Sus scrofa: one gene and its partner. The protein of the gene in region 2 interacts with the protein of the main gene of each other region in a biochemical or structural test. Links are inferred from orthologs where the notes say so. Each region holds a gene or a part of one and is shown on either strand. Other genes may lie near its edges.

Region 1 (9,677 bases), on a different chromosome or scaffold from region 2:
CCCAAACCCTTGGCAGTAGCAGTGACCGTGTTCTTATATGTCTCAAAAGTGAGGTAGGATCCTGCCCAGCTGATGAGCCCAACCCTTAGGTCCTCTGCCCTGGCTGGTCTTGGCGTCCACTCCGCCTCATCCATGCGGCCGGTGCCACAGGAGATGTCTCTGTCCGGCCCAGCCTTCCCCCCAGGGGTGAGGTTCCACAGGCCATAGGGCCTGGAATCAGGCCTTTGGTACCCACCAGAAGACGTTCCCAGAGGGAACTTCTCAGGCAGAGGCTGGCCTAGGGCCCAGCGCCTCTGTGACCCGGGAGCATTGTGACTGTGAGGGCTGCCGCTGATCCCACCACAGAGGGGAAGGGGCACTGGCCCAGCAGCATCGACCCACGCCCCAGAGGAGGTGGGCTTGGGCCTCTGGCATTAGCCTCCCCGCATCACTCCAGGCATCGAGGTAGCTGAGTTAAGACTGGAAATCAGAACTCCAGCCCCTGCCTGTGACTTCAGGCAAGTCCCTCCCCTTCTTCCTTCTGTTTCTCATTTTAATCCCAGGGTTGAAATCCGCCTCTTTCCTCCCTGGGGCTGTCAAGCAAGTGTTTGTTTTTTTAACTTTTTTTTTTTTTTTTTTTTTTTTTTTTGCCACATTATGCAGCAGAATCTCCTTTCCCAGAACAGGGACTGAACCCAGGGTGAAGCCATGAGAGGTCTGAATCCTAACCACTAGGCCACCAGGGAACTCTCCAGAGCTCAAGCGTTTTTAGAGTTCAAGATAGCCAGGAAAAATCTATTAACTTTTATGGCCCTTGTGAGGATAAGGCCGAAAATGTCTCAGAAGGTACCTTTCAGGGAGTGTGAGGAAACCCTAGATAACCCGCAAGGATCAGGTTACTCATTTAATCCACAGGGGCTGACTCTGGAGCAGGGTAAGGAGAACAGCGTAGGTGGGGGGCGCACAGAGCACCCTCCTCGTGGTCCCCAGTTGCACTACTGCTGGGCAGCCAGCCAGGGCTGCTGCTAAGGATACCAGCCCTTCCCCCTCCAGAGAGCCTCTGTTGGCCAACAGCCTCTAGGACTCACTGCCTACAAAGCTCATGAAGAAAAGCAGCCCAGAGCCTGGAGAAAGGCAAGAAGAAATACTGACGGTGATGGTGGGTTTTGTTTAAGCTTTGCTAGGATGCAAACTGAAAGGGGCAGAGCGAACTGCACTTGGCAAACAGCCCACACTGGGGTCCCCCACACACATTTTCCTACTCCCCATAGGTGGGGTCTCCCCAGGTAGAAAGAGCTCGAGTGGTGCACAGTGAGGGATCCCCAAAGCCTCACCAATGTTTTATAAAATAAGGCTTAGACTTCACGTGGCGGAAACATCTAAGATGCATTATTCTTGGACCTCTGACCAGTCCTGATGAATCGTATTTTCTGAAGTGTGCCTCAGGACTCTTATTATTATTTTTGGCCTCAGCCGTGGTATATGGAAGTTCCTGGGCCAGGGTTAGAATCTGAACCACAGCTGTGGCAATGCCAGATCCTTTACCCACCGCGCTGGGTCTGGGATAGAACCCGAGTAGTCAGAGAGACAACGCTGGATCCTTGACCCGCTGCGCCACAGCACAAACCCCATCAGGACCCTATAACCATTTCCTCCTCCTCAGATTTGATTATGCACAGACCTCACTAAGAGCCACTGCTCTAAGTCGCTGGGAGACAGATGGGAAACAGGAGTTTTGCGGTTTATGGGACCATGAAGGTAGAGCTTGTTAGCCTCAGCAAAGGCCACAGAGAATTGGGGAGGGAATGAGATTTCTTTCACTGGAGCCCCTAAACGACTTCCAGCCTCAAGAATAAGAAGGGAGATGGAGTTCTCCTGTGCTGTAGCAGGTTCAGGATCTGGGTTGTCACTGCAGCAGTTTGGGTCGCTGCTGTGCTTGGGTTCGATCTCTGGCCCAGGAACTTCCAGAGGCTGCGGGCGTGGCCAAAAAAACAAAAAAGAAAAAGGAGGGAGACGTGGAACTAGAGGAGGGCAGCGATGAGTGTGCACGTGTGTGTGTGTGTTTGGGGTAGGGCACGGGGGTTGGTCCTGCAGCCTTAGCAGCTTTGAGCCTCCCACTGATTGGCTCTTTGCAGCCAATAACCCAGGCCCCCACTTCTAGGTGACAGACAACACCATGTACAAACCACAGCAAATTTATTACTTGATATCCAGTGCCACGTCATAGCACCACCCGGAGCCCTCACTTTCCCCTCCCACCTGGCCCCAAGGGTACACTCGAAATGGAAAAAACAAAAGTCAACCCAGATCCCTGCTCCTCCTCTGGAAGAAGGGGCCTTGGCCCCCGAAGCCCCTTTCCGTGGGTCCCAGAAGGCAAGAGAGCAGACCCCTCCGTGCCCAGAGAGCGGGGGCTCCAGGCTCCAACAACAGAGAGAACATGCAGGCAGGAGCAGGCGCAGAGGCCTGTGTCTGCGGGGGAGGAGGAGCTGGGAGGGAAGGGCACTGCCTGAGGAGTCCGGGAGTCTGGTCGTCCCGGGGTGCACGCGGGAGCTTCCGGGCAGCAGGGGCTGGCCTGTGGTTGGCTAGCGCTTCGACAGCTCATGGGACAGCCAGTCCAGCCCATCGTACAAGCCTGTGCCTTGTGTGGCACAGGTGGCCTGGACGTACCACTGTGGGGAGAAGGAAAGAAACAGGTCAGAAGCAGGGAAGAAAGGCGATGCCTTTCCTTCCTGCCCAGCCTGGGGCTCCCCCGAGCAGACGCAGGTCCTCACCGTGCGGCTGCGCAAGTGCTGCAGCCCCAGCTTGTCGGTCAGCTCGCTCACGGGCATGGCGTTGGGCATGTCCTGCTTGTTGGCAAACACCAGCAGCACCGCATCGCGCAGCTCGTCTTCCTGCAACTGAGAGAAGGCAGAGGCGATGGCATCTGAGGGGGGTCTCTGGGGGCCCCCAGGCTCCCTTTTCCCAGCTGCATATGGGAATCCTGCTTTCTATCTTCTAGTCTATTTGCAGGGAAAACAGAACATTGTGTCATCTATGGCTGAACACAGGACACAAATTATAAATCAGCTTGGCCTTAGATCCAGAAAAGGCCTTTTTTGAGAGTACCCTTCCAGTTAAAAATGTCAAAGTCATCCACAGGGAAAAAAACAAGAACGTAAGATGATGCTTCTCTCCACCACCTACAATTCCCCTCCCTCTACCGGCTTCTCAGACTCAGAAGGGAAGACATGAGAGAATTCCAGGAAAAAGTCAAGTCTCACACTTTTTACCCGGGCCCAATTCAAAGTGGGGAGGCACTACTTCTTGGGAGTGTGTCCACAAAGCGGAACCCACATTCAAGGCCCGTGAGGCATTTCTATCTGTCACACCGGCACAGAAATGTGGGCGCTCTGAGTGCTCACCATCTTCTGGAGTTCATCGGCAGATTCCTGGACCCGCTCTCGGTCATTACTGTCCACCACGAAGATGAGGCCCTGGGTGGGAAGAAGAAAGGAAAGAGGAGCAATCACTCACGCCTGGGACATCCACACCCTAGTCTGGCTCCTCCTCTCTTCTGCCCTCTGACCCTGCTTTTAACTTTTTAGGGCCGCACCTGTGGCATATGGAGGTTCCCAGCCTAGGGGGCAAATCAGAGCTGCAGTTTCTAGCCTACGCCGCAGCCACAGCAACCTGGGATCTGAGCCGCACCTGCGACCTACACCACAGCTCACAGAAACGCCGGCTCCTTAACCCACAGAGTGAGGCCAGGGATGGAACCCGCAACCTCATGGATGCTAGGTGCAACCTCATGGATGCTAGTCGGGTTCGTTAACCACTGAGCTATGAAGGGAACTCCTCCATGTCCATCTTTAATGGTGTCTAAACCCTTCTCATCTAGTAAACTTACACAGTGGCTCTGGAGACGTCCTAGCACAAACTGGAGACACTCTGCTAGGATACGGCCTCTGCCCTCAGCCAAGGGGACCGGCTGAATGATGTGCACCGGGACAAGGAAAGACATGGGATGGGAGCGGAGTGAGGCAGCCTGGATTCAGAATTCTGCTTCTCAAGAGACTGAGGCCATTTCTGAAGAATAAGGAGAGGCTAGTCTACACAAGGGGGTAGAAGGGGGTAAGAGGTTTTTTTTGGCCTAGGCCAACACCTCCATCTTCCTACCCCTAACACCTCTTCCACTGGGGTTGGGGGAGCCCCAACCTGAGTGTTCTGGAAGTAGTGCCGCCACAGAGGCCGAATCTTGTCCTGGCCTCCCACGTCCCAGACTGTGAAACAGATGTTCTTGTATTCCACTGTTTCCACATTGAAGCCTGCAGATAATTGGAAAAAAATATGAGGAAAAAGTCCTGAAAGGGAGGAACTCACCAAAACGATGTGGTTTCAGCAGGGACCCCAAGCCAGAAGGCACCGAGGGGCGGGGCTCGGTCACATCCATCCCGCCTGGGCACCATCCTGCATGAAAAGATACCGTGACCCACTTCTCAGGTAGCAGCATCTGATGTCACGGTCAGCTCTCTGGGGCCGAGATAAGGGCCTCGGCAGAATGCGGAGCAGATCCTGAGGAGGCCCTCCCGCCGCGCTCCCGCTCCTCCCCACCGCGCCTCCGGACTCACCTATGGTGGGGATGGTGGTGACAATCTCCCCCAACTTCAGTTTGTACAGGATTGTGGTCTTGCCAGCTGCATCCAAGCCAACTGCAAAGGAGAAGGGCACCGGGATGGAGATGGGAGCAAGGGAGCCCCCTAGAGCCCAGGGAAGGGGACGGGCCAGGACAGCTGATGGTGACGGGGGCGGAGAGCCGAGCACCTCCAGGTGCGCGCTGTTCTCTACCTTCGCGGCCTTGAGCGCAGTCTGGGGGGTGGGCGCCAAGTCCAGCCCTCAGAGCGCGCGAGGGGCGGTAGAAGACTGAGGGGTAAGAGGTGCCAGAGGAGGGTCGTGCTCCTTTTAAAAGTCGTCTCCAAGGACGGAATCCTCCCTTCTTACCAGCCGGGCTGGGGCGGAGGAGGGAGCTTCACTCCACCCAGGCCCGCAGCTCCCGGTCCCAGGCCCCAGGAGCGCTGCTGCAGATCCCGACCCACCCGAGAGTAGTGGTCCCGGGGAGTTAGGCCGGGGGTGACTCGGGGTCAGAGACCCGGGTGAGCAGGGCTGGAGGGACGCGGGGGCAGGAGAGCTGCGTGGGGGCCGGCGCTCCCCGTCCAGGCCGAGCGCTTTATCTGCCTCACCCATGAGGATCCGCATCTGCTTCTTCCCGAAGATCCGCGAAAAGAGCGCGGACACCGTGAGGCCCATGGCGGGGCCTGGGGGAGGGGGCGCGGGGACGGACGCGGGGTGCGGGCTGGAACTGGCCGGCCGCTGGGGGATGGGCGCAGCAGCAGGAGGAGGAGGTGCCGCCGCCGCCTCCGCGCGTCCCGGCCCGCCCTACGTCACCTCGGGCCCGCCCCCGCCATGGCCCCGCCCCCAACACAGCCCTCAGCCCCGCCCCCGCCCCGCCTCCAGGCCCTGGCCCTGGGAGACCCTGAAGCTGACCGTCTTGCGAGCCTCTGGTTCGGCGCTGGCTTTAGAGATGGAAAAGGTCTGGGCCTTCCCCCTGTTTCTGGCGTGCCTGTAAGATCTGTGGCTGCTGAATCCGCAACCCGGGCAGGATCAAGGAAAGCCTCCAAAGCTCCATAACGGCCCTCCATCCCCATCCTCACTGGCTGACCGCTGGGCTTTGGTTTGGTCCGTCCAATCCACTCTAGGCTCCGATTTAGCTCTTGGTAATGAGTGCCTCGACTTTGTGCACCCTCCCTCTCCCAACCCCCCCCCCCCCACGCCCCGAAGCGGCAGTTCCGCGCAGGTGTCTTAGTCCTTCCTTTTGTCTTCTCAGTTCCCAGTCAGGGACTTTGAACGTGGCAGGTGCTTCAGTGACCTTAGAATCTCTAGAGGAATGCGCCAGAGGTGAAAGAAGATGCCCTTCATGGTTTCTTAAAACGCCTGCAGCAGAACCAGTGGAGGATCTCCAGTTCTAGGCGGTGGGGTAGTAGATACTACTCCTGCATACTGGAGAATTCTGCCTTGCCTCGATGGCCCTGGAAACAATGCCTTTCAATCGAACCAGGCAACCTTTCTGAAGCTCCTTCCTCAGTTTGAAAAGCGGAACCTGGATTTATTATTTTTTTTGGGGGGGGGTCTTTTTAGGGCCGCACCGGCGGCATGGAAGTCGAATCAAAGCTACAGCTGCAGGCCCATGCCACAGCCACAGCAACGCCAGATGGAGCTCTGTCTTCGACCTGTACCACAGCTCACAGCAACGTCGGATCCCGAGCGAGGCCAGGGATCCAACCTGCGTCCTCATGGATGCTAGTCAGATTCGTTTCTGTTGAGCCACGAAGGGAACTCCAACCTGCACCTTTAATGCATAGCTAGCTAGCATTTTGTAAGGCTGAAGAGCTTCATGAGCTATTTTCCCACTCACCTTAGCATCTGAGGGGAAATAGCAAGATAGGAATTAATTTAAATTTCTTTTATGGTGGAGACTGGGTCACCTAATATATGCTTAACAAATGCTGGCTGGATTGAATGGACTAACTGATTGCTCAGTGGAGCATGGACAGGTGTTTTTGCCTGTTCTGGATTCCCTTTGGGCTTCTAGAATCAATCCCTATGGACTGGACATGGTGAGGTGAGCTGGGAATCAGAGAACGTTCCTTCCTTCCTTCACTCATTAAACAAATATTTATTGAGTGCCATTGTTCCATGCCTCAGTTTGAATCTCAGTTCTGCATTTTTTTTTTTTGAGGGCTTAAATTCAACAATACTCACAACCTGTCATTTTCTCATCTATAAAAGGAGACTATCTGTCCCAAGTTACAGTGAAGAATGAGATGATAAGATAATGTACCTGAATTTTTGTTTGATGCAGCTGGATATTATCTGGGCCACCAAGAAACTGGGTCTGACCAGATTTCTAGTATCGGGCCCATCCTGACCCTCAGTCTGTAAAGAGAACAGATGTTAGGCACCAGGAATGAGTGAGTACCTGACTCTTTTTTACTCTGCATTCCTAAGAAGGCTTTTACAAGGTTGAAGAGCACATTTCAAAGAATCCAAATATAACAACACAGCTACTGGTGACCAAGTCAGATCAGTTCTACATCTTTAGCTCTTTTAATTAGCCTCTTTCATCCTTGTTGTCACTGCTCTATTTCACTACCATCTTATCCCCATGACTGAAAATAGCCTTCTATACCTCGGTTTCTCCACCTTGTCATACAAGATTTGATGATGCCACTCTTGTGATGAAAATCCTTTAGTGTCTTATTACCCAAGATAAAATCCAAATGCCTTAATTTGGGTCCTCATCTACTCTGCCAGCCCCATCTGTTGCCACCTCCTTCACAAAACCTAAGCTACTGCCTTGAAATGCTTCCCAGTGCTTCCCCGGGAGGACCCAGGCTCTCTGATGCCCTAGGAGTCCTTGTACGTTTTCCTCTCTGCCTGGAATGCTTCCCTCCTCTCCGGTTAGATGGGCAATCAGTATTCATCATTCAAATCTCAAAATAGTTCCCCTGAGAGGCTTGTCTCCTCTAAACAGGCCTCGCTCCTCTTAACTTCCATACCCCTTTGCATATAATTGTGTTTGCACATCTGGTTTCTCTCTAGATATGGGTTCCCTGAGGGCAAGACCTTCTCTCTCTCTCTTTTTTAAAATATATAATGATTTTTATTTCTTTTTCATTATAGCTGGTTTACAGTGTTCAAGACCTTATCTCTTCAAGGTGATCATCTAGCACAGCATTTGATATGTGGCGAGTGGGACTGATCTTGATAGGATTCTAAACTTACTGGCTGTGTGTGACTTTGGGAGTGTCACTTAACCTCTCTGTGCTTCAAGTTTCTCTATAAAATAGTGCTAATAATACCCATTCAGCAGAATTACTATAAAGACTAAACAGCAAAATTCCTGTGATCTTCCTGCAATATATTTGGCACTTAGGATGGACAGCGTGGCTATATATATTTCTCTCTGTTGAATAACCTCAGAACTCAGGAAGGATGCTAATAATTATTATACTGTACGCCTACTGGGTTCCAAATACTGTCCTCGAAAGGGTTGCCATTTTCATGGTCTAAATGGGAGTCTTAACTGTTGCTCTTTAGGGGCAAAAGTATTGAGCCCCCAAACATCGTCGTTTACCCGGGTTTTTGGTAAGGACGCGGTGCGACGTCGTCCTGGTCCCTCGCTAGGGCAAAATCAGGCGCCCTCACCAAACCAACATCACTCCTGGGTACCCGATTTTACTTGCTCTGCTCTAGCCAGGAGCAAACAGCTGGAGGCCCAGCTGAACGGCCTCCAGACCGCCGGCTGAACTAACCCCGCCCACCTCGCGCTCACTGGGGGCGGGGTCTGATGCGTCACGCTGTCGTCACTTCCAGCCGGACCCGGAAGCGCTGTTGACTCGTGGCTAGAGTTAGGAAGTCGGGATGCGGCTAAGCTCAGCTTAAACCGTCGGCTCCTGGTGCCGGCGGGGCACGGAGCGGCTCTGGAACAGTGGGGCCGAGCCCTGGCAGTGTGTTCCTCTGGTGAGCTTTGGCAGTCTGTTCCTCTAGGATAGGACCAGCCCCCACCCTCTTGTCAGGGATCTGGCGGACGCTTCTGCCTGGCTGCCCCGCCGCGCCCCACATTCGGTGTCGAACAGCTGTGAGGAGCAGATGTGCGGCCGGGGCGGGGGGGGGTGGGCAGTTCTCTCCCTGTCGCTCACAGCCCCCGCCAACATCTTCGTGACCCTCTCCCAGCCTGTCCGAACGCTGTCGTAGAGCAAGCCGTCCTGAACCGTCATGGAGAAGTTTGGGATGAATTTCGGGGGCGGCCCGAGCAAGAGGGACCTGCTGGAGACCATTGAGACGCAGAAGAAGCAGCTCCTCCAGTACCAGGCACGTCTCAAGGATGTAGTCCGCGCCTATAAAAGCCTGCTGAAAGAGAAAGAGGCGCTGGAGGCCAGCATTAAGGTGCTGTCGGTATCCCACGAGGCGGATGTGGGCCTTGCAGGTGTCCAGCCCCAAAGCCTCACCTTTCCCGACTCTGTGGATGATCGATGCTCCACTCATAGCGAAGACAGCACTGGGACCGCCACCAGCTTGGATACTGCCGCCAGTCTCACCAGTACCAAGGGTGAGTTTGGGGTTGAAGATGACAGACCGGCCTGTGGACCACCACCTCCAAAGTCCGAGGAGGCCAGCGGGTCAGAGAGCGGCGTTAGCAGTAGCAGTGGGGATGGACCGCCTGGAGGTGGTGAGGTGGACAAACGAGTGCACCAGCTAAAGACTCAGTTGGCTACTTTGACCAGCTCTTTGGCCACAGTCACCCAGGAGAAGTCCCGCATGGAAGCTTCTTATCTGGCTGACAAAAAGAAGATGAAACAGGACCTAGAGGATGCCAGTAAGAAGTTAGAGGAGGAGAGGGGCCGTCTGGAAGGAGAATTGAAGGGGCTGCAGGAGCAGGTAGCAGAAACCAAAGCCCGACTTATCACGCAACAGCATGATCGGGCCCAAGAGCAGAGTGACCATGCCCTGATGCTGCGTGAGCTCCAGAAACTGCTGCAGGAGGAGAGGACTCAGCGCCAGGACTTGGAGCTTCGGTTGGAAGAGACTCGAGAAGCTCTGGCTGGACAGGCCTATGCAGCCGGTCAGGTGGAAGGGTTTGAACTGCAGACCAAGCAGCTGAC
Region 2 (9,708 bases):
TCACGGCAATGCCGGATCCTTAACCCACTGAGCAAGGGCACTGACCGAACCCGCAACCTCGTGGTTCTTAGTCGGATTCGTTAACCACTGCGCCATGATGGGAACTCCCGAAATTCTTAAACTTTCTGAAGAACCGTACCCACGTTCTCACCAGCCAGGTTTACCAGGTGTAGGTATTTTGTCCTGTCTGTCCCCAGTCCATCTGTCTTTTAAGGAAGTAAATGCTCAGGTCCTGCTCCCTTTCACCACTTTCCTCCTCTGTCGCCTCCTCCCCCTTCCCACTCTTGTTTTCGTATTTTTTACTGCAAATGAAGATGTTTAAAAACCATACCTGTATCGATGGTTCGTTTATTTATTCATTTGGCTCTGCCAGCGGCATGCAGACGCTCCCGGGCTGGGGATCGAACCCGTGCCAGACCAGCAGTGACAAGGCCGGATCCTTGACCCGCTGTTCCACTGGGGAACTCTGATGCAGTGTTTGTAAACTTTGCTAAGACGGCATTACACGGTCTCCGTTCCGGAGCTCGCTTTGCCACGCAGCTTGTCGCCATCAGCCCACGCAAATGGGCACCATGTCGGTTCATCCGCTGAGTCTGCTCATAATGTCCCACGCAGCAGCCTCTTCATGGAACTAGGAAAACCAATGCCGCCTCCAACATCCCTTTCCTGCCTCCGAGTGGATTTGATGGTGGAGAAGCAGAAATGCCGGGTAATGGAGTTCCTGTTGTGGCTCAGCAGTTAATGGACCTGACGAGGGTCCACGAGGATGCAGGTTCGATCCCTGGCCTAGCTCAGTGGGTTCAGGATCCGGCACTACCATGAGCTGTGGTGTAGGTCGCAGACACGCCTCAGATCCTGCGTGGCTGTGGCTGCGGTGTAGGCCGGCAGCTGTAGCTCCGATTAGACCCCTAGCCAGGGAACCTCCGTATGCTGCAGATGTGGCCCTAAAAACGACAACAAAGAAGTGCCCAGTAAGAATGAGGGGGACACGGCCCTCCAGGTGAATCATTCCTGTGAATGCTTGGTGGTATTGGCTTAAATTTTTACCACTTGATGTCCAATGCGAGCCTTGGTCATTCCCTTGGCTACCAGTGGGCTTAAGCATCTTTTTAACGTGTTTATTGGCCAATTGAGTCTCTGCCTGTGGAACTGCTTATTCATGTTTATTGCTCATTTTTCTACCGCATGATGTGCTTTCACTGTTCTTTGGAGAATTCTTGTGTATTGTGGAAATACATGCATTATCAGCTACATCTGTTTCAAATATCTCTTTCCAGTTGCTATGGGCTGAGTCACGTCCCCTCAAATTGATATGTTGAAGCCCTAACTCCCCCCAGTGCGATGTCACCCAACCAATCCTGGGTCTGCCCGCACGCCTGCAGCAAATCCACTTGACTGACTCCAGGTCGTGAGGAAGGAAAGGGCAGTGTTTACTGCAGGCGCCAAGCCAGGAGTCCAGGTGGCTGGGGCTCAAAGACCCAAGCCTCCCAAAGGCTTTCAGGAAAAGGCTTTTTTTTTTTTTGTCTTCTTTTTTTTGCTATTTCTTGGGCCGCCCCTGCGGCATATGGAGGTTCCCAGGCTAGGGGTTGAATCGGAGCTGTAGCCACCGGCCTACGCCAGAGCCACAGCAACTTGGGATCCGAGCCGCGTCTGCAACCGACACCACAGCTCACGGCAATGCCGGATCCTTAACCCACTGAGCAAGGGCAGGGACCGAACCCGCAACCTCATGGTTCCTAGTCGGATTCGTTAACCACTGCGCCACGACGGGAACTCCAGGAAAAGGCTTTTAAAGGCAGGGTGAGGGAGGGGGCACGTGATCAGCTCGAGGATATTCTGATGATTGACTGGTGGTGATGAAATCAAGTCAGCATCCTCAGGCTTCCGTTCCAGCTGGTCTGGGGACTAGGAGCTGGTGGGCTCCATATACTTAACTTCTTCACCTGGTGGGGTTTCAGCCTCTGCAAAACAGGTCTGAAGGGAGTTCCTGTCATGGCTCAGTGGTTAACGAATCCGACGAAGAATCCACGAGGTTTCGGGTTCGATCCCTGGCCTTGCTCAGTGGGTTAAGGATCCGGCGTTGCTGTGAGCTGTGGTGTGGGTTGCATCCTGAGTTGCTGTGGTTCTGGTGTAGGCTTGGCCTGCAGCTCCAATTAGACCCCTAGCCCGAGAACCTCCATATGATTCAGGGTAAGGCTGTAGAAAAGGCAAAAGGACAAAAAAAAAAAAAAACCCAAAAAAACAGCTCGGAAGATGATCTATCGGAGTTCCCCTTGTGGCTTAGGGGTATTGAACCCGACTACTGTCCATGAGGACGTGGGTTTGTAGGTGTGGCCCTAAAAAAAAAAAGTGATCTATAGCCCCCTTGAGGAGGAGCTAACTAAGGCTCCTTGACTGTTCTGTCTGTCTGCTGCTTGACTCTTTTCCTTTCTTTCTACATTTTTTTTTCACTTTTCTAATTAAATTTACTCTTTGGAACTCGGGGAAGGCCTAGGGGGCTAGTGTTTTCTAAAGACATGAGGAAGGCAGAGGACATAAGGAAAACAAGAAAAAGAAAACACAGGGATAATTTTTTTAAAAAATTATTTTTTTACTAAGGTATAATTTACACGCAGTGAAATTCATTCTCTGGTGATACAATTCTGTGAATTTTTTTTCTCTTTTTACAGTTGCACCCGTGGCATATGGAGGTTCCCAGACTAGGGGTCTAATTGGAGCTGCAGCATATGGAGGTTCCCAGACTAGGGGTCGAATCGGAGCTGTAGCCGCCGGCCTACGCCACAGCCACAGCAACGCGGGATCCGAGCCGCGTCTGCAACCTTGACACCGGATCCTTAACCCGCTGATCGAGGGCAGGGACCGAACCCGCAACCTCATGGTTTCTAGTCGGATGCGTTAACCACTGCGCCACGACGGGAACTCCTGTCCGAGATTTTTAAAAAAGGCCTCTGCGTTGGGCCACCCGTTCCTTGGGTCACAAGTGAGGGACCGCATGTTCAGGGCCCTTCCACACTCAGGCCGGGACTGCGAGCCACGGTTGCGGGAGGAGGATGTCACGCGCACTTCGCTCGCCCGGTTGGATCGCATCCGTTGCTTATCAATTTGAGGGAGCTCTTTATGCAGGCAAGACGCAGTCATCCGCGTTGCGTGTGGGGGTGCATGACGTCACGCCCGGGGTTGCTGCCTTCCAGCGCATTCGCCCCCTTTACACCCAGCCTCCCGGTGCCGCAGAGGAAGGGAGACCCACATACAGCCCCACAGCTTCGCAGCGCGGCTGCCTGCCTTTATAGCAGCCCGGCGAGGGGCGGAGCCAGATGGCGGCGCGACGTGATGACGTCAGGCCGACAGAGGGCGGGGCGAGGGCGGCGGCGTGAGCTCGGGTACCGCGGACACCTCCTCGTCCTCCTCAACCGTGTTCCCCTCAGCGTCCTCCTGCGCGCCGTCCTCCTGTTTAGGGTCCTGATTCTCCAGATCCCCCTCCTCGGCGACCCGCTCCTTAGCCTCCCCTCCTCGTCCTCACCCTCGGCTTCCTTGTGCCACCCGCCGCCGCCGCCGCCGCCGCCATGGGCCCGCGCCCGCCGCGCCGCAGGGCCGAGGACAGCTGAGGCGCGGCGCGAAGATGGGCGAGGGCGGAGCAGGGCCCGAGCGCCAGCCCGAGCAGCCCGGGCGCCCCGCGCGCGCCCGCCCGCGTCGCCGCGGGGATGCCCGCGCCCGCCGCCGCGCCCTGAGCGCCTTTGTCTGCCGCCCGCGCCGCCCGCCGTTCCACTGGCCTCGCGGGCCTGCGCCGCGGCCGGGGGCGCGCCCATGAAGATGGAGCCGGGCCGGCCGGCCTCCCCCTCGGGCGGCCCGGGCCCCGACCCAGACCCCGGCGGGCCCGGCGCGCCCTCCGCTCCCGCCCTCCACCTGGGGCTCGGCCCGCAAGACCCCGAAGCCGGCCCGGAGGCCGGACGGGGCCCGGGGCCGGAGCGGAGGCCTCAGCGCCTTGGCCGGGCCCCAGACCCGGACCCCGACTCCGATCCCGACCCCGACCCCGACCCCGACCCGCCGCTGTCGGAACTAGGCCCGCTTTATTCCTGGACCGCTGAGCCGGAGGGTGACGGCCCCCCAAGCTGCCCGCACAGCGCGACAGCCCGCGCGCAGGATTTCAGCCGCAGCCACCACCTGCGGGGCGAGGTCGACTTCTTCCCCCCCTTCCCCTCGCCCGAGGTCGGCGAGCCGGCGCTGGAGCTGGGTCCCGGGGACCCGGACCGGCCCTCGGACTTCAGCCAGACCCGCCCCTTAACGAGCGAGCCCGCGGGGTGTCCGGAGGACGCCCCCCGGCTCCGAGCCGTGTTCGAAGCCCTGGACGGGGATGGAGACGGCTTCGTCCGCATCGCGGACTTCGTCCAGTTCGCCACCGTCTACGGGGCAGAGCAGGTAACTCGCAGCGTGGGAGCCGGGCTCCGTGCGCGGGGGTCGCGGAGGGCACTTAAGGCCGGGGTCCGCGTCCTCTCGTGCTTGACTTCTGCCCTCACCTCTGGTCGAATTTCGCCGAAGCGCCTCTTTCCCCTTGAGAGAGGTTCTAATTCCGGGATTTAGTGTCTTCCCTGACGTCTCAGGCCACACAAGCTGGATATTTTCCTAAGTCGAGGGGAGCGCCTGGCCTGGGGACATGCCCCCAGGCTGCCCGATGGAAGTGCCCTCCGCAGACGTGCCCGCCGTTCCCCCAGCGGAGGGCCCAGGTCTGGTCGGGCTGAAGTAATTCGCTCCTTGGGTCTGCCACGGGGCACCTGGACGCTTAGGGATCATGTTCCAGACGTCTATTTTGAGCGCAGTTACTTTACTGTGTGTGGTTGGCATATGTTCTCCATAGACTCGTTGTTTGGGAGACGCCGAATGCCAAAAAATTTCACTGCTGTTCCTTCTGTGCAGAAGGGAAAGAGAGGAAGCCCAGAGGGAGGGGAATGAGCCTCGGAGCACCATGGTGCATGCAGACTTGAGGAAGCCTGAGCAGAACTGCCTCAGGGCCACCTCCTCGCCTGTGGGGCAGGTGTTGGGAAGGCACAGTGCAGTGGGGCAGGGGGTCCTGCCCAGCCCCCCGGGGCTGTGGCTGCGCTAGGAGGAGGTGGCCCTCACCCTCCAGTCCCTCCCTCCCAGCGCTTAGGAAAGTTTAGGTGGAGACAGCAGCAGGGCTGTGTGTGTTCTGGTATTAACCCAAATACATGCAAATTGATTACCGACGTTCACTTGTAATTTTTTTTATTTTTGCCTTTATTATTATTATTTTTTTTAGGGCCACACCGGCAGCATATGGAGGTTCCCAGGTTAGGGGTCACATCAGAGCTGCAGCTGCCAGCCACAGCCACATCAGATCCGAGCCACATGTGCAACCTACACCGCGGCTCGCAGCAACGCCGGATCCTTAACCCACTGAGCAAGGCCAGGGATCGAACCTGTGTCCTCATGGATGCTAGTCAGATTTGTTTCCACTGAGCCACGACAGGAACTCCTACTTGTAAATTTTTGACTTAGGAATAGGAAATTCCTAAAATGCTGATCTGCTAGTTTTTGTGTGTTGCTGACTTCTCACACTTGCGGACATTCGTAAAGTGGCTGTTCAAGCGTGGATACATGTTTAAGCCCAGAGGTCTTTAAGAGGCATCATTGACACCCTGCTTTTCAGAGCATCCGTCATCACGTTAAGAGCCTGTACAAGGGATCCGGGTGCCCGTGAGTGTTGACAGTGTCCATTGAGCTGTTGGGTGCAGAACCGGCTTGCCTGAGCTCAGGTTCCTTGTTGAGGTCCCGGCCTGGGAAGATGTGCATGTGGCAGTGGGCCTGCATGTCGGCGTTGGGTCTGTGGGACGCCCTGCTTTAGCTCTGGGTTGGAAGATCTTGCTTGAGATTGGGTTTCCCATCTCTTAGTCTGACGGACGGAGAGATACACAACTGATAATATCCTGTGTGCTTAGCTTGGACCGAGATGGCTGCTCCAGGTGCTTTTGTTTGTTTTTTGTTTTTTTGTCCTTTTAGGGCTGCACCTGCCTGGAGGTTCCCAGGCTAGGGGTCGAATCGGAGCTGTAGCCACTGGCCTCCACCACAGCCACAGCAACACGGGCTCCGAGCCGCGTCTGCGACCTACACCACGGCTCACGGCAATGCCGGATCCTTCACCCGCTGAGTGAGGCCAGGGATCGAACCGGCAACCTCGTGGTTCCTAGTCGGATGCATTCCGCTGCGCCACGACCCTGGGAACTCCCTGGTCCAGTGTTTTGATGCCTTTCCTCCTTGCCCCTGGGCCGGGGGCGCTTGGGGGTCCTCGGTTGTTTTCTACTGGGGTGGTGGTAGTGCCCCGTGTCTTCGCCCCAAACACACCCTTCCTCGTTCCACCAGTCAAGGATGTTAAGGGAGAGACACATCTGTTCTTCCCTGCCGTGCTCTGCCTCTGATGGAGGCTCTACCTGTTTGTTTCTATTTTCACTGGATCATCCCCCTTTCTCTGAGCTGGTTGTAGGCAGACGGGAATCATCCCACTTTACAGGGAAGAGTCTGGAGGCCGGAGAGGTGAAGTAACTTTCCAAGACCTTCCAGACCGTCAGTGCTGGACAGTCCTCTGGCTCCGAATGTTTAGGTGGCTCTCCAGCTTCTTAGGTTGGGTGGCCCTAAGCCTTAACACGAAGATGCATCGCCTTCACTCCCACACGGTCCTGCTCACTTGAGAACCAGCCACCTCTTGTTGCAATGTTCACATTGGTATTGGTCCCGGTGGGAAAACCTTTGGGTTGCCATTTGGGGCTGAGGCTTTTGTAAATACAAAGTAGAAATGAGTCAACATTCTTTGTTCTGGTAGCTCCTGGTGGCATTTTCGGTTTGGGGGTGAGGCTGGGATGACTAAGGATTTGGGGGGTGGGCAAGCAAGGGAGGCCGGGCGGGCACTGCCCTCCTCTCTGCTCTCCCAGACTGCTCAGGAAGAAGCATGTGGGGCATGATCTGAGTACCGCACGTGGTGGGGGTGGGGGCGGGGGTGGCGGGGGTGGTGCTTTTTTTCCGTTTTTGGCTGCCCCTCGGCATATGGAGTTCCTGGCCAGGGATCCGATCCCAGCTGCAGTTGCGGTAATGCCAGATCCTTAACCCACTGTGCTGGGCCTGGGATCGAACCTGTGTCCTAGCACTCCAGAAATGCTGCCAGTCATGTTGCGCCACATCGGGAAGTCCTGAGCCCTGGGCTTGGACAGGCTTCCTGGGACGGTGGAGGAGCGCTTTTGTTTGGAGCAGATAATTAGCAGGGTTATTGGAAGGCTGGTTTGTGTGTCTGGGTGAGCTCTGATAGTCTTTGTTATGACTCCGTCTTGCTCTTTCGAGTCCGGGGTCAGAATACATTATAGAGGAGCAAAGAGAAGATTTTTTTTCTCTTTTGGTCTTTTTAGGGCCACCCCGTGGCATATGGAGCTTCCCAGGCTAGGTGGAATCGGAGCTGTAGTTGAGGCCTCACCCCAGCCATCGCCATGCCGGATCTTTAACCCAGGGACCCGAGCCACAGCAGTGACAGTGCTGGATCCTTAACCCACTGCACCACCAGGGCTCTCTGAGAAGAAATATTTTTGGATAGTGAAGTAGTTTAGAGAAAAATGAGGAATTCCACCTCATCATAAATATTTTCAATTAAAAAAAAATGTTTTGCCCATATATGAGAGTAGAGAGGAGTCTGCTACCCGCCCCCAAGTCATCACTCAGCGTGCACAGTCTTGGTTCATTTGTAACGTCCTACCCCTCATCCCCAGGTTGCTTTTTTTTTTTTTTAAATGATTTTTATTTTTCCACTATAGTTTGCTTACAGTGCTCTGTCAGTTTTCTGCTGTACGGCAAAATGACCCGGTCACACGTCCATGTGTACCTTCTTTTTCTCACCTTATCCTGCTCCGTCATCAGTGACTAGATACAGTTCCCAGTGCAGTACACAGCATCTCACTGCTCACCCGCCAGATTGCTTTTGAAGCACGTACCTGCCATATCATTTTGCCCATAAATATTTCAGTGTGTATCTCCAAAGATAAGAATTTGCTTTTAAACATTCATGGTTTCTTTTTTTTTTGTCTCTTCAGCTATTTCTTGGGCCGCTCCCGCGGCATATGGAGGTTCCCAGGCTAGGGGTCACATCGGAGCTGCAGCCACCGGCCTACGCCAGAGCCACAGCAACTTGGGATCCAAGCCGCGCCTGCAACTTACACCACAGCTCACGGCAACGCCGGATCGTTAACCCACTGAGCAAGGGCAGGGACCGAACCCGCAACCTCATGGTTCCCAGTCGGATTCATTAACCACTGCGCCACGACGGGAACGACCATGATTTCTTTTAAGCCCTAGGAACAGTTTGGCTAAGCTGCACAACAGCAATCAGAACCGTAAGTTTTTGCACTTTCCACCTTGAGATTTCAAACTTCCGAGTGCATGAAAGTGGTAGCCTGGGCATGCTCCTGTCTTGATGGAAACAGCCGGAGTGCCCTGATGACCGGCACGTTTTCAGTGTCTTTTGTGTCATCTGTTTACGAAGGAAGTGTTTTAACGTCTTAAAATGGATGGCCTGGATCTTTAACCCGGGCAGTTGCCATTCGTGATCCAGATGGCTGTGGGGTCCGTCTTTCTTCAGCAGCGTCGTGGGGTGTCTGGCTCCCGTTGCCTCTTCTGGAGACAGAGCAGGTGTGGTTTAGTGTAACAGAGTTGGCAGACACTGAAAGGAGAAAGGGGGCGACGGTGGAGCTTTCTAGTCGTATTTTCTTGAACAGGAGTGTGCAGTTGGATGTGTCCAGGCACTCGTTGGCTGTGAGGCGGGGATAGGTTATCCTTTTTTTTTTTCCTTTTTTGGTGGGTGGTGTGCAGCTTGATGTGGGGTCTCAGTTCCCAAGCCAGGGGGAACTGGGCTGCGCTGGCGAAAGCTCCATTTCATCACCGGTAGACACCAGGGACCTTCTGGAATGGGTTGTCTTTAAGTCCTCGACTTGCTTTGAAGTTTGCTCATGGACTCGACCCCTGCCTCCTGAGAGGACTGGTGTTTCTGTAGTCTGCACCAACTTTTCATAGAGCAGAAGCTGTAAATAAATCACAAGAGTGATCGTGCGAAAGGATTGGTTTCTTTGGGTGTTATTTTCCAAGGGAGTTCATTGTAATTTTAAAGGTTATTGTCACATGTCATGGTAACACTCTCTCAGGCATTTCCATTGTAACATCCCCGGTCCTTTGCGGAGAACCCTGCATGTCAGAGCAGTGACTGCCCTTCAGCAACCTTGTGGGTCGTGTCTGTCCGCCGTGGGACTTGTGTGAGGCCGTGCGGTGCCCAGACGGTCTCCCGCTTTTCATTCCTCTGCTGGGGGCACTGGGAACTCCTCAGAGGCGCTTGGCTGCCCCCTTTCCTTCAGTGCCCTTTGCAGTTTCTGTCCTGGCCCAGGATTTGTGTGTGTGTGTGTGCGTGTGAAAGAGGGAATGCGTGTGTGTGCCTGAGCAGGTGCACGTGGGAGCTGGTAGGATGTGTGTGTCTGGATCTGTGTCGGGGGAATTGCTCACAGGCAGATAATGTTCCTTCCCGGGCTTGCATCACAGGCAGTTTGGTTGGCGTCTTAAAAAATACTTCTGGAGTTCCCACTGTTGTTCAACAGCATTGGCGGCATCTTGGGAGCACCGGGACGCAGGTTCGATCCCTGGCCCAACACAGTGGGTTAAGGATCTGGCATTGCT

What was found.
Region 1: the proteins of RAB11FIP3 (region 2) and ARF5 form a complex in vitro, tested with the Homo sapiens proteins (2 studies listed by BioGRID). The link is inferred for Sus scrofa from reciprocal best matches to the Homo sapiens genes RAB11FIP3 and ARF5.

What each region holds. Positions count from the first base shown.
Region 1 is NC_010460.4:20,693,318-20,702,994, forward strand, and holds ARF5 (ADP-ribosylation factor 5), read right to left. Parts: upstream 5,319-9,677; 5' UTR 5,263-5,318; coding exon 5,196-5,262; intron 4,668-5,195; coding exon 4,587-4,667; intron 4,284-4,586; coding exon 4,174-4,283; intron 3,453-4,173; coding exon 3,381-3,452; intron 2,877-3,380; coding exon 2,751-2,876; intron 2,649-2,750; coding exon 2,562-2,648; 3' UTR 2,389-2,561; downstream 1-2,388. Other genes in the region: FSCN3 (fascin-3), read right to left, coding at 1-134; GCC1 (GRIP and coiled-coil domain-containing protein 1), read left to right, coding at 8,791-9,677.
Region 2 is NC_010445.4:41,278,606-41,288,313, reverse strand, and holds the start of RAB11FIP3 (rab11 family-interacting protein 3), read left to right. Parts: upstream 1-3,315; 5' UTR 3,316-3,330; coding exon 3,331-4,416; intron 4,417-9,708. UniProt on the Homo sapiens protein: Downstream effector molecule for Rab11 GTPase which is involved in endocytic trafficking, cytokinesis and intracellular ciliogenesis by participating in membrane delivery. Recruited by Rab11 to endosomes where it links Rab11 to dynein motor complex.